4 linked regions of the Lonchura striata genome follow. The protein of the gene in region 1 purifies or fractionates together with the protein of each later gene. This does not show direct contact. Links are inferred from orthologs where the notes say so. Each region holds a gene or a part of one and is shown on either strand. Other genes may lie near its edges.

What was found.
Region 2: the proteins of ANAPC4 (region 1) and ANAPC15 purify together in Homo sapiens (affinity purification with mass spectrometry; 10 studies listed by BioGRID and IntAct, with this or other methods). This does not show direct contact. The link is inferred for Lonchura striata from reciprocal best matches to the Homo sapiens genes ANAPC4 and ANAPC15.
Region 3: the proteins of ANAPC4 (region 1) and ANAPC1 purify together in Homo sapiens (co-purification; 13 studies listed by BioGRID and IntAct, with this or other methods). This does not show direct contact. The link is inferred for Lonchura striata from reciprocal best matches to the Homo sapiens genes ANAPC4 and ANAPC1.
Region 4: the proteins of ANAPC4 (region 1) and NEK2 purify together in Homo sapiens (affinity purification with mass spectrometry; 6 studies listed by BioGRID and IntAct, with this or other methods). This does not show direct contact. The link is inferred for Lonchura striata from reciprocal best matches to the Homo sapiens genes ANAPC4 and NEK2.

The regions. Positions count from the first base shown.
Region 1 is NC_134606.1:18,430,230-18,437,881, forward strand, and holds the start of ANAPC4 (anaphase-promoting complex subunit 4), read left to right. Parts: upstream 1-4,626; 5' UTR 4,627-4,706; coding exon 4,707-4,814; intron 4,815-5,391; coding exon 5,392-5,497; intron 5,498-5,505; exon of another isoform or gene 5,506-5,627; intron 5,628-6,375; coding exon 6,376-6,508; intron 6,509-7,652. UniProt on the Homo sapiens protein: Component of the anaphase promoting complex/cyclosome (APC/C), a cell cycle-regulated E3 ubiquitin ligase that controls progression through mitosis and the G1 phase of the cell cycle.
Region 2 is NC_134604.1:4,304,587-4,311,278, reverse strand, and holds ANAPC15 (anaphase-promoting complex subunit 15), read left to right. Parts: upstream 1-4,405; 5' UTR 4,406-4,485; coding exon 4,486-4,605; intron 4,606-5,484; coding exon 5,485-5,544; intron 5,545-5,626; coding exon 5,627-5,764; intron 5,765-5,903; coding exon 5,904-5,951; 3' UTR 5,952-6,171; downstream 6,172-6,692. Other genes in the region: folate receptor gamma, read right to left, coding at 1,128-1,402, 1,758-1,893, 1,968-2,156, 2,375-2,522, 2,694-2,740; TOMT (transmembrane O-methyltransferase), read right to left, coding at 6,432-6,692. UniProt on the Homo sapiens protein: Component of the anaphase promoting complex/cyclosome (APC/C), a cell cycle-regulated E3 ubiquitin ligase that controls progression through mitosis and the G1 phase of the cell cycle.
Region 3 is NC_134605.1:27,745,922-27,753,630, reverse strand, and holds the start of ANAPC1 (anaphase-promoting complex subunit 1), read left to right. Parts: upstream 1-4,686; 5' UTR 4,687-4,799; coding exon 4,800-5,012; intron 5,013-5,795; coding exon 5,796-5,957; intron 5,958-6,084; coding exon 6,085-6,136; intron 6,137-6,699; coding exon 6,700-6,809; intron 6,810-6,962; coding exon 6,963-7,045; intron 7,046-7,709. UniProt on the Homo sapiens protein: Component of the anaphase promoting complex/cyclosome (APC/C), a cell cycle-regulated E3 ubiquitin ligase that controls progression through mitosis and the G1 phase of the cell cycle.
Region 4 is NC_134605.1:12,190,190-12,197,370, reverse strand, and holds the start of NEK2 (serine/threonine-protein kinase Nek2), read right to left. Parts: upstream 3,018-7,181; 5' UTR 2,982-3,017; coding exon 2,886-2,981; intron 2,738-2,885; coding exon 2,520-2,737; intron 1,523-2,519; coding exon 1,285-1,522; intron 788-1,284; coding exon 705-787; intron 454-704; coding exon 327-453; intron 1-326. UniProt on the Homo sapiens protein: Protein kinase which is involved in the control of centrosome separation and bipolar spindle formation in mitotic cells and chromatin condensation in meiotic cells.

The sequences.
Region 1 (7,652 bases):
CTGTTATTCTTGCTTTGGCAAAAACCTGTTCTGATACTGAGTCTATGGGAAACCCACAGCAGTTCAGTTTCATAGATTTATTATTACCTGCACAGTATATCTTCCGTAACCCACTGGGAATTAATTTCTCTTCCCCAAATTCCTTTGCATTGCAAAGAGGACAGGACAAGTTTGCTGCTTGCCACTTAGACCAGAACTTACCCAGCTGTGGTCTGTTGACATATGCATTTTTGCTTATGCTTTGAAGTTGTAGAACTTGCTAATTTCAAAATTTCATTTGTGATTTTCACAGATTCTCAGGACTGTTGTTTCAGAGTTACAGTCCTTCCTACAGAGGAGTTGTTTCTGTAAACAGTGGGACTGTACAAAAGTAGTTTTGTTTTAAGATAGAATCAGTGCGGGGTTTAATAAAATAATTTATTTGCCTTTTGTAGGATGGCAGACGATGGAAACATTGTGTTCTTTGCAAAAAATGTGTAAAGCCCTGTAAGTACAGAAAACTATTTTCTAAATAAAAGTGCATTTAGTCCAAAGAAACTGAATTTCCAAACCAGAATAGAAAATATTCTGTGAAAGAAGTAAAATATAATTCAGAAGATATAGAATAAACAAAAAGTCTCAATTTCACACAAGTTACTATTCTTTAGTTTAGATGTACTTGCACTGTGTGGAAATGCAGGAAATTCTTGCCAAGGCACACTAAATCCCATTTACATTTATCATGGCAAAACAGAAATATTTCCATTTGTCATATAAGTGTTTCCTAATTTTCTAAACTTTGAATTTTCTAAACAAGTAGGGAATTACAAAATGTTTGAGAGATCATGGTAAAATTGTTTGATGCTCAAATTTAGTTGTATTTATGCCTCTGTATAAATAGCTGAAGCAGTTATCTTTGTTACTGTTACAAAAATCAAAATCTGTAAATACATTGTAACATCTGCAGTGTTTTTCTTTTGAAGATGACACATAGGATAAAAGTTCTAATGGCAAAATAATTCACACTTAATTGCACAATATGTCCAGTAATGTGATAAGGGTCCCGAAGGTGACTACAGCTATCTCTGCAAAGCTAATCCAGAATTAAAAACCTGGTAATGTGGCTTTAAAGCTTAGTTTCAGAATGTTCAATTTAAACTTTTCCAAGATCATAAATAATGTTATATATTTTGCAGCTTGGTTTCACTGTAACAATTGCAAGTGCTGCGCTCTTCCAAAGCACAGCTGTGAGAAGACTGACATTGGCTGTTTCGTTTGTGGCAAGGCAGGTCACAAGCGCAGTGCCTGTCCCAGTCTCTCCCGCCCCAGAACAGCTTGTCAGTAAGTGTCATATTGCATTAGTACAGTAACATACAGCATTCAGATGAGATGAGATGTCACGGAATCAGTTCAGAAGGAGATGATATTTTGCTTTAGGTGCTGATGTCAGCTTTCCCTATTGCTCACTTGCTGGACTGTTGGGGAGTATATACTGAAGGGAGGGTATGATAAAAGGCAGGTCACTTTCTGGGGCTTCCAATTCCCTGTCTGTGGGTTTTCTTTCAAAACTGATTTATATGGATTCAGACTTGGTGACTGGTGCATGGAACTCTGTCAAGGTGACTGAAAATTGAAGTAATGGAACACTTTCATCCCCTTTGAGTTCCTCATGCAATGGCAGAGAAAACAGACACAATATATTAGAGTCACCAAGAGTCACATTGAGTACTTTTAGTCTTCCATGATTTTCCTTTTGTTACATACAGAACAACACTGTATGCATACCTGTATGTATCAGAGAGCCAAGTAAATGGTTTTTGGTTGTCTTCAGATGGAACTAACTGAAAAGAGGAAAGCGGATTTGCTAAGAGATGATCCAGCAGATGGCTCAGTCTTTCCAGTTCAGGATAATTGATTGCACTACTATAAATTCCTTTCCAGAGTAATGGGTTTTTCTGTGATTCTGGACTTGAATGGCTGTAGCAGTGGAAGGCAAATTTTCCCTCCCAAAAGCTGTACCTGTGTTACACAGTGAGACTCAGACCATTACCCTCTTGAATCAGTATCCAGGGACTCACCAGATGCCTGCTGGATAGCAGATGGGTACAGGTGTATTGCTTCATGTCCTACTGACACTAAACCAGATTTTGTTTAGGGAGTATTAGACACAAAACGTAGCAATGTTTCATTTTATATATCTCTCATAAAAATTGCGTCTCTTAATGTTTCTTTTTCCTTTGGTAAAGAAATTAAAAAGGATGCTAAAAGAATTTATGAAACCTCATCTGTTTTTTCTGTCAAGGAAGATACTGTTCTATCAGTTGTGCCGCAATGGTTTTAATATTTTAGGCCATCAGTTAGTTCTTTTGCTGACTCGTTGCAGAAGATAGCTTAGATTTCTTTTTCGAATAAAAATGTTGTATGTTTTGTTACAATTACTCAGAATTTTGTGTTGTGACATCTTTTGTCAGAGATAGAAAACAATCCACTTGTTAGTTGTATTTAGGTCTTGTACTAATTGCAGGATGCTTTCTAATGGTGTTAAACTTCACATACTTTTTTCTAAGTCTTTCTATTATATATTAATGCAGTATATATTCAGCGTGAAACTGTGTGTGCTTTTTTTGTACTCAATGAGTGAGTTTCTTGTTTTCAGTATCTGTGTAAATTTAAATGCTGAATAAATACATAAAATGAATATATAATGGCAATAAAGTGGACAGTTTTGTGAACTTGAAAGACCATAACATTTTGAGACAGGTAATGTTCCATGTACTTCACATACTACCACATAATTAATATACTTATTTAGAATACCAGCAAATGTATTTGTACAGAGAAGTGTGTTCTTCATTTTATTCTAATCTCTGTGTTCCTTTTTTTCCTTTACAGACCTGACAAAAAGAAAGGACAGAAAACTCGAAAGAGAGTAAAAATGGGGATCTCTAAAAGATTAGCTATGAAATATGCCATATTCTCCAAGAGGAAAGTAAAGAATAAGAAAAAAATGACATGACTCTTTTTGCTGCTACATAGTTGCTAATTTATTTTTTTTATTGACAGCCTTTTGTTCCATTTTCTAAAAATGTAAGTGCTAACATCCAGAATAAAACATGATGGAATTAACAGTTCCTTTATCATCATTACTGATACCAAACAAAAAAAAAAAGCAACAAACAACTAAGTGAACTACCACAGCCCTTGTCATGTGTGTGTATAATGTGATAATGTTGTATTTAGGATTAGCTATTTGTCTAATTCGATGGGTGTTGGACGTTAAGGGTCTTAACTGCTGAGAGGTGAGATACTGCTCTGATTTTATGTTGGAGGACATGGGGCAAGGAAGAAAGTGAGGGTAGGTGATGGGAAGGCACGAGTTCTAGGAATTCAGTCTCTGTTGATTACAGTCGTCTCACAGGATGGCCAGTGATTTTTTAAAACGTTCTCTCCAAATGGAAAATGGGTTTACAAAAAAAAAATATTTAGTACTAAACAGTATGTCGTAAGTAAGCAGAGCGGGAAGAGCCTGACCAGCCTCCCCTGGCTCGGCGCTGCGGCGGCTCCGCTCCCGAGCCCCGCCCCGCTGCCGGGACAACCCGCACGGCTCCAAATCCCGCCCCGCTGCCGGGACAACCCGCACGGCTCCAAATCCCGCCCCGCTGCCGGGATAACCCGCACGGCTCCGAGCCCCGCCCCGCTGCCGGGATAACCCGCACGGCTCCCAAATCCCGCCCCGCTGCCGGGACAACCCGCACGGCTCCGAGCCCCGCCCCGCTGCCGGGACAACCCGCACGGCTCCCAAATCCCGCCCCGCTGCCGGGATAACCCGCACGGCTCCAAATCCCGCCCCGCTGCCGGGATAACCCGCACGGCTCCAAATCCCGCCCCGCTGCCGGGATAACCCGCACGGCTCCGAGCCCCGCCCCGCTGCCGGGACAACCCGCACGGCTCCGAGCCCCGCCCCGCTGCCGGGACAACCCGCACGGCTCCCAAATCCCGCCCCGCTGCCGGGATCTCCCGCACGGCTCCCAAATCCCGCCCCGCTGCCGGGATCTCCCGCACGGCTCCAAATCCCGCCCCGCTGCCGGGACAACCCGCACGGCTCCCAAATCCCGCCCCGCTGTCGGGACAACCCGCACGGCTCCGAGCCCCGCCCCGCTGCCGGGACAAACCGCACGGCTCCCAAATCCCGCCCCGCTGCCGGGACAACCCGCACGGCTCCAAATCCCGCCCCGCTGCCGGGATAACCCGCACGGCTCCAAATCCCGCCCCGCTGCCGGGATAACCCGCACGGCTCCGAGCCCCGCCCCGCTGCCGGGACAACCCGCACGGCTCCGAGCCCCGCCCCGCTGCCGGGACAACCCGCACGGCTCCCAAATCCCGCCCCGCTGCCGGGACAACCCGCACGGCTCCCAAATCCCGCCCCGCTGCCGGGATCTCCCGCACGGCTCCAAATCCCGCCCCGCTGCCGGGACAACCCGCACGGCTCCCAAATCCCGCCCCGCTGCCGGGACAACCCGCACGGCTCCGAGCCCCGCCCCGCTGCCGGGACAACCCGCACGGCTCCGAGCCCCGCCCCGCTGCCGGGATAACCCGCACGGCTCCGAGCCCCGCCCCGCTGCCGGGATAACCCGCACGGCTCCGAGCCCCGCCCCGCTCCTTGCCGCGGCGGGCAGCGCCGCCCCGGAAGCGGAGCAGGCCCGGCGGGCTCGGCGCAGCCCGCAGCCATGCCCGCCTTCAGGCAGGTGGGCGAGAAGCAGCTGCCGCAGGAGGTCGTGTTCATGGCCTGGTCCCCCAAAAGGGACCTGATCGCCCTGGCCAACCGAGCGGGGGAGGTGAGTGCGGCTGCTGGTGAGAGCTCGGGAGGAGCGGCGCTGCCCTCCCTGCAGGCCCGCATGCCTTTGCTGTTACTTGCAGCATGTTTCTCGTGAGTCTCGACAGGCATTTAAGGACAGCAATTTTTTAAGTCGAGCGTCTTACTGCTCCTTCATATTTTGCATTCTGATTTCCGAACAAATTCATATACGATGCGCTCGTTGTTTGTAGGATTTTAAATGCATGGATGGGCCTATTTAAATTAAATCTAATTTTAAGTACTTTTTCCCGTGGAACTGCAGTGTATGATCATGTAGGAAGACAAGACTTGTGCTTTCGGGCTGTCTGCTAGAGAGGTGGTGGGTAACCCCTGTTGGTTAGGAGCTTGTATCCTTATGCACCTTATTTCTCTCTTCTGCTATAAACTATGTGCTGCCCTCTAAAAGAATATAGGAGTGAATCATCTGCTAGAGGAGCAGGTGGTGTTTAAGACACAGGAGTTAAAAACGGGTAAAAAAGGTGCATCTTGAACTGATTTACTAACTTTATTAATGGGAGAATATGGTTTAAGTTTGTCTTCATGCATTCGTTTTATAGGTTTTACTTCATCGGCTTGCAAACTTTCAACGTGTTTGGAGTTTGCCTCCAAATGAAAATACAGGAAAAGAAGTGACTGCTCTTGCTTGGAGACCAGATGGCAAAAGTAATGTCAAGTATATGAGATGATATGGTGCAATAAAACCCCATGGGAACTCATGAATGATGATGCCTCTCATCTGTGAAGGAAATTTTCAAGTAAACTGTGTTTGAAGAAAAGGGTGGCTTAATTTTATGTAGGTTCATTCACAGCAATAGAGATATTAACACTGTTGAATGCAATTGCAAGAAAGATTTCAGATTTATATGCCAAATGTTGCTTTTCAGGGTATAGCAAAATTTCAACCTCCTAATTAAGCAGGATATTTTGTATGAACTACAAAGTTTATTGGGAGGGAAAGAAGCTGTTTGATCAGGATTGATTGAAAAGCTTAGCTTACTTAACATAGGCAAAACTTCATAGGCTAAAATTACTCTAATTATAGACCAGAGAAGAAAAACATAGCCTTTTCCTTATTAATAGAAATAATGTTGAAATTAGTAGCTTAATAAACTTATGCTAGAAATCAGTTAATTTTTGATTCACTAGAGGTGGGAGATGGGAACAATATTCTTCCATGACATATGTATAAAAACTACCTATATTGTTTTATGAAGGCATCTGAAGAGTTTAAGAAACTTCTTTTTAAGATGATTACCTGTGATTATAAGGAAGGAAATGGAGAAACTTCTGCCTGCAATTCTCTATTATGAGTGAAGAAAGTGATACAAAAGTTGCTCAGCTTCTAATTTGTGTTTTTTGTCCACCAAATCTTTCTGGTGGACAATGTTATACATAATATTGGACTCAAGTTTGCAAAATTGGAAGCCTCTACTTTATCAGAACTATTGTTAAAAGTGTTAGAAGCGTGTTCAGTTCTAGGTCAGTGTAAGATAGACATTTTGCTCATTGGTTATTTATACATTTTACTTGTCTTTCTCTAGTTTTGGCTTTTGGCCTTGCTGATACCAAGCGGATTATTCTGTGTGATGTAGAAAAGCCTGAAAGCTTGCACTCCTTCTCTGTGGAGTTATCTATCACATACATGCATTGGATGGAAGTAACTGAGGAAAGCAGGTGAGTCTGAAAAGTAAATCATGAGCTATGTAATGCCACCTTACTGTTAATTTTTATTCTTAATGTTACAAGCAGTTACATGAAATAATACAGTATTCCATACCTGAGGGTTTTTCTCACAACTTGACTAAATTTTCCTTTTTAGAATAGACACTTTTCATATGCTTATTTTTAGTGCTGACACCTTAGTCTTGTGGGTCTTTGGGTGATTTTGTGCATGATTTTGTGCTTCTCTTTCTTAAGAGCTGCTTAATCTAGTGTTAGCATGTACAGCCTGTCTTCTGATCCAGTTTGCTTCAATATCAATCAATTTATTAAACTAATTATAAGAATGTTATGTTCATCTCTTTTGTTAGTCAGAATAGGTATTATATTTAAATATTTATTCTGTGTTTTCAAGATTTTTATTTTGGTGTTTATGTCTTTTGTGTTTTGTCCTTGGTGTTACATCCAATTTCATTGGCAATCCTGTTCAGGAAGTCAGATTATCTCTAGTGACCATGAACTCTGTGTGATTGAACAAGTCTCAGCAGCACTTGTGTCCTGGAGGACATCATGGTCCCTATTTCTGTTGTCTTAAGGAAGCCTCTGATGTGCACCTTATGGCAGTGCAAGAACATGTTAAATAAAACACTTATTTAAAGGAGGCAGGTGGTGTAAGCTCCTGATTTGAGGATTTCCCCCCTCACCTGCCATAAGCATCAGATTTAAAATAGCAAGAAAATAGCTGTGCCTTTAACCACACTGACATTCTTCTTCTGGTGGGAATAGGCTTAGCTTTTTGTGGGGAATCTCAACCTTCTGATATATCCAAGATGTGGTATTAAGTATTGTGCTTTGATCTTCCTGTTACTGCAATGTATCTTTAGCTGTTTTGAGGTGTGGGTAGGTTGTACTGCAGGTTTGGAGAGAGTTTAAACAGAAAACCTCTGATAGTAATTGCTTTACAGGCAATGAAAAATTTGGTGACAAGCTTCTGAGCCAGCCAATACAAACTTTATTCACTGGAAATAAAAAAAGATTTTCAGTTCTTTTATTAATTTGATCACTTGATAAATTTTTAAAGGTCACATAAATTATTATCCTCTGATATTTGTAATTTTGATATACATAATGCATTGAATATATACTCTTAACTCTGGAA
Region 2 (6,692 bases), on another chromosome or scaffold:
ACCATTTACCACATTTGTAGATCGAGTAATCCGAGCAGCAGAAAGGCAATGCAGTGATGATATAGCTCACCCAATAATGATATGGGACATTATTGAAAATAATGCCAATGCAGAATGCAAAAGAATTATCAAAGCCTTGGGAAAAGAAAAACCTACAGTGCTTGAAATGATTGAGGCCTGCAACAAAATTGGAAGTCCACAGCAAGCAGCGACGATTCAAGCAAATGAACTTGGAAAAACTCTAGGAGAACAAATTCAAAAGGCTCTCACAGCACAGGCAACACAAGCAGAAGCACGAGACAAAAAACTTACTGAAATCCTAGCTGCCTTGCATCTCACCTCCCAGCAACAAGGCAACGCTATGGCTGTTAGGCAAACTGCTGTAACTTCAGGACCTTGCTACTTCTGCAAAAAAACCTGGCCATATCATGAAGAATTGCCCAAACGGCTAAAGGAGCTCTGTAAAGTAGGCTTGATTATGTTAATAGTGATAGTTTCGTTTCATTTGTAGTACCCTGCATACTTCAGTGTGTGCAAAATTGATGAGGAAGAGAGTATCTAACATCTTAGTTGTTCATCAGAACGGGGGAGATATTGGGGAAGATGAAATGGGAAAGTCTTATAAATATGTTTGCTTAGCAAAGGATTTGGAAAATACAGAGACTGAGTGAAACTGAGATGAGAACAAACTTTGAGATTTCGGACCTTGGTTGCTAAGCAGCTGGTGGACAGTAGTGTAGCTAGTAGAAGGTAACTCCCTTTTTTGACCCACAGACAGATCCAAGGGTCATCCCTCAAAAATGTGTAGTTTATCCTAACACCTGACTTCAGAGATCTCTTGTCTCTGTCCGTCCCGACCATCCAGGACCAGCCCTCACCACAGTCTGCTTCATCTCCCCCCCAGAAGCAGGATGAGACAAACAGACACCCCCTAGGTCCCTCAACCATCCTACTGCCACCCCAACCATCCCACAACACCCCAAGACCAAGCCGGGCAGGAGCATTTATTCATGAAGCACGTGCCTTGGTGGGGGACACAGCTTGGGAACATTTCATGGGGAGACACAAGGCAGCCTGGTGACCTCCCTGACCACCTACTGCCTGCTCCTGCCTGCAGCCCCTCCTGCTCAGAGCAGGGCCAGAAGGGCGAGGGGCAGCAGGGACAGCAGGATAGAGAGCGGGGAGTTTGGGGGAGCATCGCCATGGGCGTAATATTGGGCGACGACAACGTTGGGGTTCCCCTGCGTGGGATCAAACCACATCTGGATGCAGCGACCGCTGCCACGGTGGTGGGATGTGTAGCGGTAGGAGCCAGACCAGATCTGCTCGCAGAGTGCAGCCGCCGTGGGGAACACAAACTTGAACTTCTGGCACATGGCACCCTTGGGACACTGGTTGGTGCCTGGGGGTGGGCAAGGGGTGAAGTGGGTGAAGGGCTTGGGGAAATGGGTGTTGTTTGCCTGTGCATGGGGTGCAGATGGGTCCCACTGGCATTGCTGGGGAAGAGAGAGTTGACCTCAAGGTGGCACAGGGTCTACCCCACATGCCATGAGGACCCTGACCCACTCACATGCACAGGGGACTCTCACCTGGCTGCCACCCCCACCCCATGGGGACCCTCACACCCCTGGACCCACTCACACCCACCAGGGAGGGTGGATACAACTCCCTTGCTCCCCTGCAGCAAGATGGACACTGACTGGAGACCTACAGGAGAGTTGAGGCATGATGGGGGCTGCCCTGCAACCCCCACTCACCTGTAGTCCAGTTCCAGCCCTTGTGCCAGTTGACCTTGCAGGTGACAGCATCCTGGCAATCCTCCCACCACTGCTCACAGTCCTCCCAGCACAGTGGCACATCCCGGATCCGCTCCTTCCTCCAGCTGGTGTCTGCCTGCAGGGCCCCCAGTTTTCTCCAGTTCACCCCAGGGATCCTGGTGGGTGGGTGAGGGTGGGGTCTTCACCTACCTGGTCGATCCATGGCCCCAGGTTAGGGGAACACTCATAGAGACACAAGTCCTGGATGAAGTGGCGCTTGCATTTCTCTGGCATGGCCCCACAGTGGTCCCAGTTGAAGTTGTACAGGTAGGACTGGTCCTGGTGAGCTTCCAAACTCGTGTTGGCAGTGCAGCAGGCATTGTCCTTCCAGAGGATACACTGCACCAGGGCAGCTGGGGCTCAGCTGGGACCCACCAGGACCCACCAGGGCTCAGCTGGGACCTGCTGCAGGTCCAGGGGAAGCACCAGTGCCCGTGGGTGGGTGACACTGGATGATGGAATTCATGTTGGGGCACAGAGCCCTCCAGCCTCCATCCTGGTGACCCCACAGCAAGTGACACCAGTGGGAGCTATAGTACAGTGCATGAGGACCGTACCTGCCCATAGAGCTGCCCCTCAGGGCCAGGCTCTGTTTTATGGTGCTTGGCATCCATGCAGACGTTGAGCAGCGAGTCCTGTGTCACTGTCACTGCTGAAATGGCAGCTGGCCAGGCCAGCAGCAGAGCCAACACCGCTGCCATTGCTCTGCCAGGGCAACAGCAGGTCAGGACAGCAGCACCGAGAGACGCAGTTACAGCAGGGACAAAGTCCCCCGCTGTGCCCGTGGAAGCGCGGCAGCACACGGTCACCGCCCACGACCACCCACAGTGGGGTCAGGGGTCTTACCTGGGGATGCCAGGGGATCAAGACTCTTACCTGGGGGGCAGCTGGGCTCCAGGTGCTGTGGGACGAGCACAGCTCATCTCAAAGGTCGTGGTGCAGCACAACCCGTGGCCACTGGTCACGGGATGTGGGAATGCAGCGGATTGGGCAGCACTGAGGACACGGAAGAGACAGTGCATCCCACCCTGGCACCCCACTGTGTCCTGGATTGACACTCATGCCTATCCTGGCCCCACGTGCAGCTGGGATTCATCCTCCTGGCGCCAGGCTGGGGCCAGCACCAGCCAAAATCTACTTAGGGCTATTTTTCCTTCCCTCCCGTGGGAGGTGGCCTGATTCCTTGACACCAGCACAAGGGGCAGGACGTGGCCCCCCAGTACCACAGGGTCCCTGTGAATCACTGTGAGGCGGGGAACACCACAGTGGGTAAGAGATGTTGCTGGCAGGGACAGGTACCCCCTGTGGGGTCACAGATGGCCACAGCGTAGAGGCAAGTACCCCTCATGGAATTACAGGCACTCCAGGGAATCACAGATGCCCCGTGAAGGGGGGAGCGGATAGCCTGCAGGAGAGCAGTCCCTGTGGCTCGGGAGGGACAGAAATGCTCCAGGGTGAGACATTCCTGGGGCAATCACGGAGGTAAGATACCCTACAAGGGGGACACACTTCCAAGGTCACACATGATGGGGGACCAGACATGCCCCAGGGATCACAGATGCCCTGAGTAGTGGGGAGGATACCCCTCACAGATGACAGATAATCCTCAAAGGAGCAGATACCCCATCAGCATCACAGATACCGCCTCACTGGGGTCACTGGTACCTGTGGGGGGGTCACAAACCCACCATTAGTCACAAATACCCCAACGAGGGGCACAGATATTCCGTGGGGATCACCCCCTGAGGAGAGTCACAATGCTTCCCATCGGGGTCACACATCCCCAGGGGGTCACAGATGTTATGTGTAGTAGATATAATTTGTGGCATTTCTAGGATGATATATGTGATATTAAATATTTGTTGGAGTATACATGTTTGTATTAGGAGTCCCCCCCACCCTCTCAGACGAAACCTGGTGCGTGTTGAAACCTGATTTACACGTAAAAGGATGTGGCTGGGCCAGGAGGGATAAGGGGATACCCGGGCACTGATCATTGCGTGAGCGACCCGAGATGGATATTATAGAAATATTATAGAAATCCTCGGGCAGATACAGGTGAATGCAGGATTCCTGTAAATTTCATCAAGGGATTCAACAACTCTGGACACGTAATTGTTCTTCCTCATCACCAAAAATAAAAAGAAAATCTCATTAACCTACGGATTCTGAATGGAAGAAAAGACTGATTGCTGAAATCTTGGCCTCAGGCGGAATTTTCCCTATAAAACCCGCCTGTGCCAGGATGGAGGTGTGTGGGCACAGAGGAAAACCTCTGCTGAGGCTGACTCCTTGTTGCGCACGCAGCGCGGGGCTCAGCACTGTTCTTTCCTTGTGGCTGGCTAGATAGAATCTGATCGCAAAATAAATATTTGCTTTTTTTCATTTTAATTCGGCTGGACAAACTCTCACTTGTAACACAGACAGCTCCGGGGCGGGTCACGTTCGCCCGGCCCTCACAGCGGCCCCACACAGGACGCGCGGGGGGGGGGTGAACCCTCCACCTGTCAATCAAGCGACGCCCCGCCCCCAGGCGAGGCCACGCCCCAGCCGGGCTCCCCCTGGCGGCCGCGGTCGCGCCGCTCTGCGCATGCTCGGTGCGCGGTAACCGGTTCCGGGTTGCGCTCGCTGCTGGCTGGGCGGCCGGCGCCGGGCGGGCGGCCGCGCCATGTCCACGCTGTTCCCCTCGCTCCTGCCCCGCCTCACCGAGCCCCTCTGGTTCAACCTCGACCGCCCGTGCGTCGACGAGACCGAGCTGCAGCAGCAGGAGCAGCAGCACCAGGCCTGGGTGGGCACGGCTGTGGGGGCCGCGGGCCGGGTGTCAGGGGGCCGGGGAGCGGGCCCGGCTCCCTCAGCGGGTACGGCCCCGGGGCGGTGCCCGGGCTGGGGGCTGCTCCGCTGGTCACCGCCTGTGCCCGTGTTTCAGCTCTTGTGCCGCTGTCGCCGGCTCGGGCACCGCTGCTCCCGTGTCCCTCATCCGTCACTATTACCGGAGCTCCCCGTTTTATTGTAGAGGGTTAATTAATAAGATGCTGCTGGAGCTACGCGAGCTCTCTATGAATTAATTAACTAATCTCCCCAGGCAGGCAAAGAGCGATTTGTGATCCTGGTGGCTGATAAGTGTTGGCGATGTGAGCGTGGTTTTGTGCTGCAGTGCCCCTGAGTGTGGGGGGAAGAACATCTATTTGATTAAAGTTAAAAAAAAAAAATCAGTAATTAAGTTTTTATAATTAAATAATAAAGTTTAAATCAATTAAAACTTCAGGACGTAGAAGAGGTTCCAAATCCCTCTGGGTGGGAGGTGCTGACATATTTTAATTGAGCTTTAATTATCTGCTGTGGTTGTGTTCATCTGGCTGATCAGATTTGTCCCAGATTTGTTTATTTTTTGATAAAGAAATACATAAGCTTTGTGTTTGGGCTTCTGATGCCGCACATGGGGATACCAGTGTCATTGGGACCAGCCTGCTTGGTGCCAGGGTGTTCAGGCAGGTGTCTGGAGCTGCTCTTCCCTGCTTGGCCAGGAGATGCCAGGGAGGCAGCAGGACTGGGCTGGAAACAGGCGTGAATAGCAAGCGCCACAAGCCAGCAGCTGAGCCGACAGGGCCTGTTTGCTGGCGTGTCATGGAGCTGTTGGGGTGCTCACCTGCCTCTCTCCTTTCCCCAGCTCCAGAGCATTGCTGAGAAGGACAACAACTTGGTGCCCATAGGAAAGCCAGCGTCCGAGGTGGGTGTGTGGGCAGGGAAGAGGGGGGCTTGCCACAGCGCTTGAAGGGCAGATGGGGTTGCTGGAGCTGTTGTGTCCACAGCACTATGATGAGGAGGAGGAGGAGGATGATGAAGATGATGAAGACAGTGAAGAGGACTCAGAGGATGATGAGGACATGCAGGATATGGATGAGATGAACGATTATAATGAGTCTCCTGATGATGGGGAGATCAATGAGGTAATAGTGCGAGACCCCAAAGAAGGGGATGTGAAGTGTGTGGGACCCTGAGCATGAGCTCCAGGAGCTGTCTTCTCTCCTTCACACCCTCAATTAAGTTCTTGCTCTGGAGGAGATCTTAAACTTCTTTCTTTCCTAGGTGGACATGGAGGGGACAGAGCAGGATCAGGACCAGTGGATGATCTGATTCTGCCACAACCACACCAAACCAGAGGCTGGGGGAGATTCTTTGCCCCCCATGGCTCTGGGGGACGGTTCAGTGAAGCTCCTCCTTCCATGGGTGCTGTGTGGGGCAGCAGATTCAGAGGGAAGCCCCACAGGGGAGCCAGAGGGGAGACTGCCACCTGGCATACTGGGACTGACACATCGTTTCTAATAAACTCAGTTTTCAAGAAAACAACCCCAAATCTGGTGTCTGAGGCCACCAGGGAGTCAGGGGGTACCACCCAGGCAAATGCAGGGCTGCTCCCCACCATTGACTGGTGCGCCTGGCAGATCTCCCTGTGCAGTGCAGGCAGGAACACTGCAGGGAGTGAGCCCACTCATTGCCCGCTGCGCCCCACCACAGACCACAGAGCCACTGCCTTTTCTCCAGAGCCCTTGTTGAAGCCGGGGCAGGGGTTGGGGAGTAACTGTGGCCATCACGAGGCAGGGGCTCGCCGCCCGCTCAGTGGGTGCCGGTGTAGCGGAGCTCGGCGATACCGTCAGGAATGGCGCGGAAGTACTCCAGGCTAGCGCGGTGCACCTTGCAGTGGTATTTGCCGCAGGTCTTGGCGTACTGCAGGAAGTGAGGTGCCCCAGGGAAGAGGACGTTATCAGCCAGGATGGTGGCCCCCTCAGCCAGCAGCTGGTGGCTTTCCAGCAGCCGTAGATCCCGCAGGTAGCAGCGTTTCCAGTGATCCATGAAGACCAAGTTGGCATTCACCAG
Region 3 (7,709 bases), on another chromosome or scaffold:
GATTCAGACACTTGTAGAGTGACAAGGTCCCCCCAAACACTTGTAGAGAGTGACAAGGTCCCCCCTGAACCTCCTTGTCTCCGGGTTGAGCCTCCACCCCTAGCTCCCCCAGCTACTCCTGGTGCTCCAGACCCTTCCCCACCTCCATTCCCATCTCTGGACACACTCCAGCACCTCTAAGTCTTTCTTTTCATGCAGGGCCCAAAATTGCCCCCAGGATTTGAGGTGAGGCCTCACCAGTGGTCACACAGGGGGACGGTCACTGCCATGATCCTGTGGCCACACCACTGCCATTGGCCTTCTTGGGCACCCGGGCACACCTGGGCTTGTGATCAGCCACTGCACACCTCGGACCTTTCCCAGCCCCTCAGCCCCAGCCTGCAGCGCTCCATGGGGTTTTTGTGACCCAAGCGCAGGACTGGTCACTTCACCCTATGGAATCTCACTCACCCCATTGCCCTCTGGCCTGCCCAGCATGGGAATGCTGTGCTGAAGGCACTGCTCCTTCTCACCTGGCCCATACCAGCAGGATAATAGGGAACAGGGACAAAAACAAGGAAAGGAGGAAGACCCAGGGGAAACCAACATAAGCCATTAACCCAAGGCAAACTGAACAGATCTCTTGTGGCATGGGAAGGAAACAAGGGAGTTTCTGGATATTCAGACCCTGCCCCAACACTGGCCTTGCATGGGGACATTTGGGACCAAGGTGTATCGGGGTCATGCGTGTTCCCCTCGCCTGCTGCCTCATGGGAAGGGACTGGGATTTGGGGAACCAGCATCCTGATGATGTGGCTGAAGGGCACTGGTATTTCTCTGCACCAACCTTTCTGCTCCCTGAACCTGTGACACAAGTCACTGCCTGCTGTACTCTTCCCAAAGAATAGAAACACACCACTTTGAAGCCTTTTCCATCTGGGAAGAAAAACCTCCTTAAGCTCAGCTAAAAAACTGCAACAGATCACTCCCAGTCTTCTTTGACTTGCAAAGTTGCTTATTCACTGCACATTCCCAGGCTTTGGTGACAGGGATTGAATTTTCATCCCAGCTTCCCATATCTTGAAGCCATCAGCAGCCAAGGAAGGGCTCATGGACTTGGAGGCCCCGAGGAAAGGGAAGAAGGAAAACTCACTAAAACTGCTGCAAGAAGTTGGAGCATCTTCCATGAAGATCCAGCAGCACTGCTTTTCCTTCAGATGTTGGGCATATTCCCTGTGGATCCAGCATCCCTCAGGGAGCAGGACAAGACCAGGGACAGACATTTGTCCCATGCCTGTCATTTGTGGTCAGCCTTTGCTACATGAGTGCACTTTGATCTGGCTGCATTCCTTGCTGCTCCTGCTGGCTTTGCAATTTTTGGAAACAAAGCAATGGAAAAGCCTTTGGACTTTGTGGGCTGCAGGCTGGGAATGGCCCTTGCATCAGGATACAGTCACCCCACTAACACAGGGTGAGGAAGAGAAGCAGATTGTGCAAAAGAGGAATTTAAAAAATAAACAAGAACATGCAGGACCATAAAGAGGATTTCAACAGCTCCCAAAAATCCCCTGATTTGGGTCATTTCTTTGCAGCAGGTTGGGTTCTGCTCCAGCTCCAGAGGGTTTGTTGCACAGCCTGACGTGAGGAACAGGTTGAAAGGGAGGAAAAAATCGGAGAGGAGAAATCAGAGGAGAAACTCTCAGGTGATAGGAAAAGCCTGGAAGCAGTTGGCAGGAGCCAATCTGGCCCCTTTGGCTCTAGGATACCTCAGTGCCATCCTCCTGCTCCTCACAGCATATGGAATACTGGAATGGTCTTTTTTGAAGCAGGTGATGGATTTCCATCCTCAGAGCCCAAACTCAACAGTTGCTGGGGAGTATCCCCACAAACCACTCATGGTTTTTGGCCCTGACTCACCAGATCATGCCAAGCAGCATCCCCTGTTCCCACTGCCTGGGTTGGGAATCAGGTGGCATTTGGCCCTAAGAATAATTCCTGGGGCAGTGGGAGAGGCAAAAAGGCAACTGGTGTCAAAAGAAGGAGGGACAACCTTTCCTGAGCAGCAGGATCAGCCCTGAATCAGCTAAACCAGTCACTACCCAAGGTTATCTGATCCATCACCAGCAAGGAGGAGTCCATGTTTTCCTGCTGTGTCCTGCACCAGAGGGAGAGATCCTTATCTTCACAGCCTGGGTGAGAAGGTCCCAAAAGATCCCTCTCTGCAGGGATCCTCAGCTCTTCCTTGGCGGGATCCCAGTGATGCAGGTGTCTGAGTCTGACCCATACTTTGCAGTTTCACTTCAGTGCATTGACTCTGTTTCCTCACCAGACTTTTGGGAGACCTTGGATCCAATTTTTCCTTTGGGAAATCGGATTGTTTAGCAGAAATGGCACTTGGCAATCAGACGTGTGGGCTTTTGTCTGCTGAGGGTATTTTCTTCCCAGCTATTTATGTGTTTTTATTTTCATTTTGCTAAATCATTCCTTTATTCCTGCTTCCTCTTTGGGCCTATTTTTATTTTGATTTTCAGGGGCTCCTGTTCTTTCAAATGCCAAACTCCTTTGGCAACACGTCCTTAGCTGAGGGCAGCTGGCCCGTTTGTGCTCAGTGCTAAACCCCAGACACAGGATGCGGCTCCCAAACAATTTGAAGGGAAAACCGGAACTTTTTGTGATGCCACTAAAATGCCTTTTTCTTGCTGTGCCTGTTCTGGGCACTGGGACACCCTGCAGCTCTTACCGGGCACATCCTGTCCCTTGGCTTAGCTGGCTCTTCCCAGAACAATTTCTCCTGCTCTGCAAATCACTTTGCGAAAGCAAAGGTTGGACATTGGCTTTTCCTACCCTGCTTCTCCTTTCTGAGAAGCACTTCTGTCTCAGCTTAAACCAAAGAAACCCAGACTCCAGTTTCAAGTATGTTTTCAATTCATCCACAGCTTCTCCCTTCTTTGCTTATTGTGAAACTCATGTCTTGAAAATAAATAATTTGCCCTTTCAGTTCCCATCAAGCTACTCCATACATGTTTTAGAGGAGGGTTAGATGGGATATTGGGAAGAAATCTTTTCCTGGGAGGCTGAGGAGGCCCTGGCACAGGTTGTCCAGAGATTCTGTGGCTGTCTCATTGCTGAAAGTGTCCAAGGCCAGGTTGGATGGGGTACAAATCCTATGAGAACAGAAAGGGTTGTAAAGCACTGCAAGAGGCTGCCCAGGGAGTGGTACAGTCGTCATCCCTGGAACTGTTAAAAAAAAAAACAAAACATGTGGACGTGGCAATTGAAGACATAGTTTAGTGGTGAACATGGTCGTGGTGATGGCTGATGGTTGGACTTGATGATCTGAACGGTCTTTCCCAACCTTTGCTCCTATCCAGGAGGGAGAGGGGATGGCACAATCTCCCTCCATTCCAGACAGAACAGCCCCTCCTATGTGACAGAAGCGAGGATTTTAGCCGGGATAAGTCAGCAGAGCCCAGACTTACACAGATTTATGCTAATCCATGTCACAAGCACATGGAATGGTGGCAAGAGAGTTGTACCCATGCCCGGGGTGGCTGCAGAAGCCTCATTGGTCCCACAAAGTAGCTTCTTAAGCACCGTATCAGAGAATTCCAGAATCCCAGAATGTTTTGTGTTGTAAGGGATCTCAAAGATGATCCAGTCTCACCCATTGCATGGGCAGGGACACCTTTCACTATCCCAGGGTGCTCCAAGCCCTGTCAACTTGGTCTGGAACACTCTCAGCATGGGGCAGCTTCTCTGGGCCAATGTCCATGTCTCGAACACAGATGGCCATGGAGCTGAATTGTTGGGAATAACGGACAAGGATTGTTGGTACTAAATGCCAGGTAAATGAACAAGATGTAACTGGAGAAGGGGCCATGCAGAAGTAGGGCAGGGCTTTTCTGGAACAAACATCCTTGTTCCAGTTCAAGAGACACAATAACAACAACAAAAAGAGCATCAGCACAGAATTCTTTCTTCCTTTATGTCGGAGCCCCTTCAGGCGCTGAAAGGGGCTCTAAGAGCTCCCTGGAGGCTTCTCTTTTCCAGGTGAACACTCCCAATTCTGATGGAGATTGAGCCTAAGATTGGATACATCTTCATCCCACCTCCTCTTTGAAAAGCAGTTTAGGAAACAAGAGGGTTTATTCTGTATCTCCTTTACCCTTTCTTCCTTTTTACATCACTGGCTTCCATCAAAATCACTCTACATGGACTCTGATTATTCTTTATCCTGGGATGCTGGGATGATTTGGGTGGGAAGGAACCTTAAACATGATCCAATTCCTTGCCATGGGCTGGGAAACCTTCCACTATCACAAGTTGCTCCCACCTGGCCTGAACACTTCCAGAGATGGGGCAGCCACAGCTTCTCTGGACAACTCTTCCAGTGCTTCACCACGCTCACAGGGAAGAATTACTTCCCAATATCCGTCTAAACGTATCCTCCGTCATTTCAAAGACAGTCCAGCACGACCCCAGGCCGTGAGCTGGGCGATCCATGACGGAAGTCGCCACGGGAGGACAGCAGTCCCCAACCACCGCCGCCCGGCAGCGCCGTGCCAGCGCTCGGCGGGACTGTGGCACCGAAAGGGCATTTTGGGGGAAGTCTCCCCCGAGGATACGCCGGGAGGCACTGGAATGCCGCAGGACACGGCGGGAACAGGCGCGGCCATGGCGGGGCGGGCGCGCGCGGGGCAGCCCGGGAGCGCCAAGATGGCCGCGCCCGCGTGAGGGGCCGCCGGTGCCGCTCCCCGCGCGTCCAGGTGCCCGCGGGACCCGCCGGCGCGTCCCGGAAATAATGAGGATATCGGGGCCCCATGTCGGACCACTGTGACGAGAGGGCGACGATGATTGCGGCCGGCGACCTGCAGGAGTTCGCGCCGCGGGGCCGCGAGCAGAGCCGGCGGCACCCCAGCGCCCTGAGCCTGCAGCTGCGGCGTCTGCAGCCCGCGCCGGAGCTCTGCTCCTCCGACGGCGCCGCAGGACTCGTGGGCTCCCTCCGAGAGGTCACCATCCACGACCGGCAACGGGTACGAGCCTTCCTGAGCTGGGCGTCGGGAGGGAAGGGAGCTTGAAGCCCATCCGGCTCCCGCCCGCCGCCGTGGGCTGGGACACCTTCCACCAGACCGGGCTGCTCCAAGCCTCCTCCAGCCTGCCCTTGACTTCCAGGGATGGGGCAGCCTGCGCCAGGGCCTCACCACCCTCCCGGGGAAGAATTCCTTCCCGATATCCCACCTAACCCTGCTCTCTGGCAGTAGGAAGCCATTTCCCCTTGTCCTGTCAATCCAGACTCGTGTCCAAGTGCCGCTCCAGCTCTCTTGGAGCCCCTTTAGGCACTGGAAGGGGTTTTAAGGTCTCCTTGGAGGCTTCTCTTCGCCAGGTGAACAGCCCCAGCTCTGCTGGAGTTCGAGCCTAAGATTGGATCCATCCATATCCCAGCTCCTCTCTGAGAAGGAGTTCAGGGAGGAAGGGGGTTCACTCTAAATCTCAGAACTCTACAAAGGGTCTCCCTTGCCCATTCCTCCCTGGCTTCCATCAAAATAAATCTAAATGGATCCTGATTGTCCTTACCATGGAATGCCAGGGTTTTTTGGGGTTGGAAGGGATCTTACGGATCATCTCATTTCACCTCCTGTCATGATCAGGGACACCTTCCACTATCCCATGGTGCTCCAAGCCCCATCCAGCCTGGCCTGGGACACTTCCAGGGATGGGGCAGACACAACTTTTCTGTGCCAGCACCTTGTAACTGGCCTAACTCATCACACCCGTGGGTCTTGTGGCTTTTCTTTTGACAAACCTCTGTTTTCCAGGAAAGCTGGCAGCTGAGGAAAGGCATCAGTGATGTCGGGGAGGAGGTGGACTATGACGAGGAGCTGTACGTGGCCAGCAATGTGGTCATCTGGAGCAAGGGCAGCAGAAGCCAAGCGTCCACTGTGTACAAGGCATTCACCGTTGACAGCCCCGTCCTGCAGGTACAGAAATGTGGGAAAGGGGCACTGAGGGAATCCACAGACCCTTTCTAGGCAGGGAACAGGGGAAGGTGACATTGTGTGGGAGCAGCTCGTTCTGGAGAATTAATGATGCTCTGTTGGGTTTCAGGCCTTGTGGTGTGACTTCACTGTGTTCCAGGAAAAATCAGAAAAAGCTGATGGTGAGTGTCCTGCTTCTTGTGCTGCTGGGCAAATGCTCTGAGTTCAGCTTTCTTGGCTTTGAGTCATGGAATTGTTTAGTTTGGGAAAGCCCTGAGAGGCCACCAAGTCCAGCTGTTGCCAACGCCACCACAAAACCACATCCCCAAGTGCTGCATCCACGTGGCTTTTATAGCCCTGTGCCTGTGTCAGGGCTGGATACTCTTTTGGGGAAGGAATTTTCCCAATATCCACCCTGAATCTCCCTGGTGCAACTTGGGTCTATTTCCTCTCATCCTGTCCCTTGTTCCCTGAAAGCAGAGCCTGACCCCAACCTGGCTGCACCCTCTTGTCACAGAGTTGTGCAGACCCGGAAGGTCTCCCCTGAGCCGTCTTTACACCAGACTGAGCTTTCTCTGCCAGTCTTTGTTTTCCAGCCCCTTCCCAGCTCCATTCCCCTTTCTGGACACACTCTAGGAGCTCATTCACCACGACTTGAAATGTCAGAATTTACTTTTTGTGTATAAGGGATGTCGGAAACAGAGTGAAACTTCACTGTGTAATTGTTTTGTTCCTTCCTTTCCAGTGTCAGGCAATGACGAAATAGTGGAGAAATGTATCTGCATTTTGCAGAATTCCTGCATAAATGTGCACAGCATGGAGGGGAAGGATTACATCGCTGCTCTGCCTTTCCAGGTAACTTCTGCCATGCTTTTTGTCCACATTTATGTTTCCCTGCTCTGCGCAAAAAGCCTGAACATCGTATTTTCCTATAAGACCCTCAAACATCATCAACACAGCACATGGTTGATGTTTTTATCCCACCATAAATCCATATTTTTTTTATAGGTTGCAAATGTCTGGCCAACCAAATATGGGTTGTTATTTGAGCGCAGCAGTTTTTCCCATGAGGTGCCTCCAAGTCCACCCAGGTATGAGCTGAGGAATTTGGGTGGTTTCCTGTTGGATAATCTAATAAGGAATGGAAAGTTGAAGGGCAGTAGTGAAATATCCGTGTGTTTCTGATAGAAAAAGGTGGAATTGGGTGGAAAAGGAGGAAGTTATGTTTGACCCTCCCTGGAAGTGTTCAAGGAAAGCTTGGATGGGGCTTGGAGCAACCTGGGATGGTGGAAGTGCCCCTGCCCGTGGCAGTGGATGGAATAGGATAATTTTAAGATTCCTTCCTACCCAAACCATTCTGGGATTTTATTGATGCATTTCTTCCAGTCTTTTTATATCATCCCAGTGACTGAGTGAGCACACTCAAAGCTGAGTGTTAAAAACTATTTGGGTGTGCTGGTCCCAGGAATAGGATCTGGGAAGCACCAGCCTGATTCCATTAAATTTGTCCTAGGAATTGATTTCAGGCTGTCATGGTCAGCTGGGAGAGTCACTGAGGGATTAGCATCGAGACATTATCTCTCAGCTGCAGGATCCCATTTCCTCTTTGGTGAGGATCCCATTCCCTGCAGAGTGGGGATCCCATTCCCTGTTGGCTGAAGCTTCCAACTCTTGTGGAAGCCCTCTCTGCATCCCAAAGGAAGCAGTTGGACAATGTGCTGATGAGCAGCTTTAATCCACTCTTGGGTTTTTCCC
Region 4 (7,181 bases), on another chromosome or scaffold:
AAACACATTGGAACAGTTTTAACCCTGAAGTTATAAGGCCTCAATAAACATGCAAACTTATTGAGGCCACCTTTATTAAGGCTCACCCATGTAAGCCAATACTGAGGCCACCTTTTGGCATCCTGTGACCCTGGCATGACACTTGAGCTGTTGCCTTTGTTTGATGGACTCAGAGCAAACTCCTCCCTCCTTCCTCCACAAGTGACACTGCCAGTGAGGGGTGATAACAACCCCTATTTCAGATAGGTTTTTTTCATAATTAAGAAAAACTAGTATTTCAGTAGTAGCTCAAATTATCGGTGGGAAAATTAGTAATTGGTTCTTACCTTTACATTCAGCATCTCCTTGAGAAGGTCATTCAAATCATCTGAGTAACGATATGGTATTCTCCTGACCCTCCCTTCCCTTATCTTTTCTGCCAGTTCCTTTTGGTTGAAAGCTGTAAATGGAGGCCTGAAGAAGAAAATTTTACTTTGATTCTTTCACTAGTTTTACAGGACTTACTTTCAGGAAAAAAAGTATCAGACTATGAAAAAAAAAAACTGCAGTCAAGGTTTGTTTTGACTACCTAATGTCAAGACCAATAGAGAAATAAAAATCTAGGACTAGTCTCTGAAACTGTTAAGCTTCCATCTGTACAAAATACAACCACATCTACATTAGCAATCATGTTTCCACATTTGTTATCATGCTACCATACTTACGAGAGAGCACATAATTCATACACAATACATCCTAGCGACCAGATGTCAGATTTTTCATTGTATGACAAGTAGTTCATTTGTTCCTAAAGAAAGAGAATAATCTTAGGTTTGTTAACAAAGACATGCAACTCTATTTCAGTCAACATTAATCTTTCCCACACAAAGTGTCCTATATCAGGGAAACAAGTCATTCCTGCTCATTTCCACTACAACTTAAAATCCTACCATTAGGAGGTAATTTAATAAGTGCTTTACCTTAAAGTATGAAGCATAAAAGCTCTCTAACTTCCCTGTTCCTTTTCAGGAACAACATACTCCAATATTGCTAGTGTCCCAGGAATATAACAAAGCTTATACAGTGAAGAGCAACTGTTATTAGAAGGAAGTTGATTGTGCGGGGAAGAAAGGAGATGAAAACTGCAAAATAACTTTGTATCCAGAGCACATACTTTATGAAAAAAGTCACCTGCATTTAAGACCAATAAAGCTTCATGAAAACCTCCCAAACATTCATGGACTCAGACCAACACAGCACACCTTGGAGGGGCAAAAGGGAAGATAATGTACAGAAGGGACTTACTGGAGACATGTAATATGGAGTGCCAACAAACGTTGTGGCAAAGCTGGTATTATGGTGCAATATCCTAGCCAGTCCAAAGTCTCCAAGTTTCACATTCTGTTTGCTATCTAGAAAGACATTTGCTGGTTTCAGGTCTCGGTGCACAGTGACTGCACCATCGCTCCGCCTGTGACACTCCCTCAAGGCCAACGTTAATTGAGTCAACACCCGGATAATAAAGCTTTCATCCAAGAAATGCCTGAAAAATGAACACATTGTTTAATGGATTTTCTGAACACACATCAGTTTGATTAGTCACTGCCAGTTTTAGTTCCATAACTTTTTAATAGTACTATAATAAAAGACCACTCAAGCACTATCAGCAACAGGCATCTATGAATTCTACCTTTAAAACGGATTTTTTTTTTTTTAAATCACTGCAAATATGTTAGATGACATTGAGGCTTTCATTGCAGAATCCCTGCAATATTTCTTTCCTCCCCCATACTATCTAACAAACATATAGCATTTTCACTACTTACAAATATCAATTTGATGCTTTCGTAATGCGATCTGTCCCTTTGATTGCTCAAGATAATGATATGTTGTCATTTGTTAATAATGAGCAACAGACAATAACAGCCAAAACAGGGCTAGTTTTTAAATACAGACTCCCTTAAATGAAAAACACTGATACTGGCAGGCAGCTGCAGAACTGTTTTAGACTATCCTCATAAAGAGGTCGTGTCATGTACTTGTTTGAGCTAAGAATGTGAAAACTGACACTATTTTTAAGTAGAATGCTAAGTCTAAGATTAGACCAAGATGAAGCCTTATCAACTTGATGTTTCTCCAAGCTCTATATATGGGCAGGTAAAATAGCTTTTCATATTGCAATCAAAATCACTGCTCCCTTCCACACACGTCTGTGTTCTCATAAATCCCAGGGTCCCGGCAGTTTTACTCATGGGGAAGACCATTGATAGCCAGAAACCCCTCAAGAGCTTCTGCCTCACAAGACAGCTCTGCGTTTCTTACTGCTGGCAGCACCAACACCAATCCGGTGAAGCATTCAACAGCACAGTTCCCATCGCTGTTGCAACTTTGTACAAAACCTTTCACCTTTGAGAAGAGCTGCGGGGTCGAGAAGGCTTAAAAGCTGAAACTATTCAGCAGTTACAAAGCACATTTCCCTTCTCTCCGGGCTGCCCAAGACCCGTGCGAGACACTGCAGAACACAAGCTCATTCCACGTGCCTTTCTTTGGCGCACTTGGCGATCAAGCTGGCCAGGTCTCCCCCGTCGCAGTACTCCATGACGATGTACAGGGTGGTGCTGCTCCTGTCGATGATGCGATCGTAGTAGCGCACGATGTTCGGGTGCCGCAGCTCCCTCAGCAAGTTCACCTCCGACACGAGCATCTGCTTCTCCGACTCCGTCATCGCGCCATAGTCCAGTTCCTTCCATACCAAGATCTGCGGGGGCAGAAACACGCTGGGGAGTGAGCGGGGCAGCGCAGGGGGAGGAGGGTCTGCCGGAGGCGCTCGCTCGCGTGTGGCGGGGAGCCGCCAGCACCGGGCAGGGACGCACGGCAGCAGCGAAGCCGCGCTGCCTCCGCCTCACCTTGCCGTCGGCCTTGCGGCGCACCTTGCGGCACTTCCCGTAGGAGCCGGCGCCGATGGTGAGCAGCACCTCGTAGTCGTCGGGGCGGCCGGGCATGGCGGGCAGCGCACGGACCGCGCCGGGCCGCGCGGGCCCCTGCGCTCGCGCCGCGCCGTTCAAACGCACCGCCCCGCCCGCCCATTGGCCGCGCCGCCCGCGCGCCCCGCCCGCCCATTGGCTGCGCCGCCGTAAACAGCGCCCGCGAGGCGCGGCGGGTACGGCCGTTACCGCCGGGGGCGGGGCCGAGCCCATCGCGAGACCGGCCCCACGCCCCGCCTCACCCGGGGCTGAGGGGAGCGGCCTCCGCAGCTTTACCGCCTGTGTCCTTATCTTTTCCCCTGCTTTTCCCTTTGCCCCTTCCCTCCCCTTCCCTTCTTCCTGATTAGACAAATCACCGGGCCTGCATGCATATCCATATCATAGTCACATATCCATAGTCACATATCCATAGCTCCTCAGGAAGGGGTGTGTGTTTTTTTCATGAAAAATAACAGTAAATCATCACCGTTCTGAAATGCTTACATCTGTTGGATAGATAATTTTACTGTTCAGGAATGCTAAAAAAACCCCAAACCTTTAAGCTGTTTAAAATAACGTAAATCTAGTCTGGATTTATTGCAGTCTACAGCTTCTTGGTGAGGGGAAGAGGAGGGGCAGGCACTGATCTCTGCCCTGTGGTGCCCAGTGACAGGACCTGAGGGATTGGCCTGGAGCTGTGCCAGGGCAGGTTTAGGCTGGATATTAGGAAAAAATTCCTCACGAACAGGCTGCCCAGGGCAGTGGTCACAGCACCAGCCTGACAGAGGAAATGTTTGGGCAAAGCTCTCAGGCACATGGTGTGACTCTCAGGGTGTCCTGTGCAGGGCCAGGAGTTGGACTTGATGATCCTTGTGGGTCCCTTCCAACTCGGCATGTTCTGTGAAAATTGTCCTTTAAAACCAGTGTGGAAAATGTCTTCAAATTTTTTTCTTCAAAAAATCACTCATGAATAGCTACCAAAGTCATGGCAGCTCCCTGTCCTACCACATATAAACACCCATACTACATCATACACAAACCACCTGCTGAAAACATATAATAAAATTTGGGAAATGCAAACTGTGGATCCACATCCAAACGGAGCCAGCAAATACTGTGGTTACAGTAAACGGCGCTCAGTAACACCACAATCTACTAATGGCATTATATACATTTTAAGAACAATGTAGTGTATTTTCTAGCATAATTTATGGTAAGGAATGATGCCAAGGTGCAGTTCTGCAGCTCAATTTTATCTCTATCCATGTGGCAGTAGCTGTGACTGGAACAGGAACTTCTTCAGCAAAGCTTTGTAGCATACTTGTGATAATATAGAATCATCATGGTCTGGGGTGGAAGGAACCCTGAAGATCATCTTGTTCCCACTCCCAGCCATGGGCAGGGACACTTTCCTGGATCAGGTGTGAAAGGGAACAGCTGTATGTCCTGACCTAGAAATTCAGCAACAGGACAGAGCAGTTCCTCATTTTGCATCTCCACACGGTCTCAGTTATTTCCCAATTTTGTTTCAGCTTTGAAATAGGTTTGAGTAGGTGTCATGCTATGACTGAATATTTATGAAATATTCTTCTATTAGTCTTTAGAAAAATCAAAACCTTTACTTTTATCATCAGGAGGCACAAAAACTCCTGCTGTCCATTATAAAAATTGTATAGACTTCTTATCTGTAGAGAATGTATGGTCATTACAGGAAAAAATGAGCAAATGAATTCTACAGTGTAAAGGTATTTTGGTTTTGTAATTAATGGATAACAGGGTGATCTAAAGGGTTTGTGTTTATTACTGATTTCAATTACTTTGAAAGAAAATCCTCACATGCACCATTAGCATAGTGAATAAATTATGGCATTACTCAATGAAAATGACAAGCAGTACAGTATGTATTATTCAGGCTGGAAGCTTCATTGCTGGTTTTAAATATCTCCATTTCCAACTTCTGTACATTCAAATAAGCAAAAGGTCATCATGCATTCCCACTGTTATCAATGGGAGCCTTTCTATTTATATTTCAAAAGAAATACAGTAGGATTTCAATACTGTGTTTTGTCTAGGCACTGTCTTAAAAGTTTCTTTAGAAATGTTGGTTTGAATCAGAGAAATGTCAAAATGTCATGCTTCAAAAGCCAGCAGCAGTCATTTCACTTTTTATTATACTTATTAAGGGCTAGCTAATTTTGAGAAAAATGCATTTATAAAAGTGGTTATTAAAATTTTGACAGGCACTTCATTTTCTTTCTTTCTGATTTTCACACTTATAAAAATGACAAGAATTTTTTTTCCTTTTATATATGGACAAGTGAACCCAGACATGAATAATTCCAAAACTATGTATCAAGTTTGAAATGGGGGCCTCCTTTGTAATGTATTGTATTTTCAATTCTGGTCTCTTAGTTCAGGAGCAAATCTCAAATTTCTAGTCCTGAAAATAAATGTGCTGACTTCAGGCCTCAAAAGCCACCAAATAGTTCTCAATAACATATTTATAATAATGCTTCTAATATTATATTCTGCTTTTAATTTTTTTAACATCAAATTTCACCAATTATTTCCTAAAACTTGAACAAAATAAAAGTACTCTTTGGTAGTTGCCTACTGAGGTTTCTAGTTTTGATGACATCTGTCCTTTGTGCTGTAAAGAGTACATTTTCTCTTATTCCAGGACCTAGTTATCTAACAAAATATTAAATGCTGAAGATAAATAGTATGGTAGGCAATTTGATATTTCTCTAAAGATATTTTGTTTTTTGCACATGGAAGTAGGTAAAAATAAATGTGTGACACTTTGCTGTGAAAGTCCATCACAATATAATTATACAGATTAATAGCAAAAAAAGTGCAGTTAAGTACTGAAGGAATTAAGTATGTTTCTGGCTGCTTTTTTTTGTTTGTTTGTTTTGGTTTTTTTTGTTTTGTTGGTTTTTTTGTTTTTCAATCAGAGAAGATTGCACAGGTTCAGAAAGTGAAAATAAGCTCAACAGGAAAAGCACTGAAAATGAAGCCATAAAAATTATTAATAATGAAAAATAAATGCACTCTATAAGAATAATTAGAAAAACAACTGAGAAAAATGTTGATTTTTTTTTCTTTTCTAAGAGGTAAAAGACATGTAAAGACTTAGTCCAGGATCCATGGCAGAAATGTACCAAAGTCTTCTAGCAAAATAAGGAGGAATTGAGTATTCAATATTAGACAGGCAAGAGGTCTTAGAAATATTTTTACATGACAGAAAGAGGGCTTATAAATACTGGAGTGACCAAGATGATGAGTGTTTTATTTGAGTTTATTTTCACCACAGAAGTAGTTTGGAGTTTTTAACATTCAATGGCATTTGTCCTTACATATCTTTGTGCACACTGGGTTTTTCCCCCTCACTTTCTCTCATCTCTGTCCCTGCCCAGACATTTTACATTTACCCAGGACTGTTGTACACAGATGATGTAACTTTTTGGTAATATTTACTGATTTTAACAACAAAAATCATACACAGGATCAACAAAAACATATAAAATACTTGGATATTAGAGAGAAACACTATAAAAAATACCAGAGGATAAGATTTCGCTCTATTGCTTTGTGAGGGAGACAAAGAACACATTCATTGACAAAATTCTGCACAACACAGCTGTGGACAGGACAGCAAAGGAACAAAATAGAGCATGTATGTCTTCATATATATGCTAATTTTCACAATAGTATTCATTAACCTTAAGAACAGAAGGTGCTTGAATTGCTCTTTAAGACCACTATTTAAACTGATGAAAAGAGTGATTATTTGACATGTATAGAACTTCAAAAGAGAAATTACGGTGTGTCCTTCCTTAATAAGTCAAAATTTAAAGTATTGGGAAGGATTCTAAGGAAGGATTCTAGTATGTTAATTCATTATTTCTGTTGGCTTGCTTACTAAGTCAAGGAAAGCAGACAAGTTTAGGATCTGTGCCTCAATTTATCATCTTTTGAAAGGGAAACTTTCCAGATTAAATTTAATATCTAGGAGCTCTCAAAATGCTCAAAAAATGCTTTAAGTGATACAGTAAGTAAAGCTGCTTAATTTTTTAAAAGCAACAATATTAGAGTTGCTTATTGTGGAACAGCCAGTCTCAAATGTTTTTCCAGTAATTTATTTGTACTTACAGTCCCTTCAGATGTATTGGGAGAAATTTTTTCAAATTTTTCAATATATTTCAAGAAAGTTTTTCAACCATCACCAGAATTCCG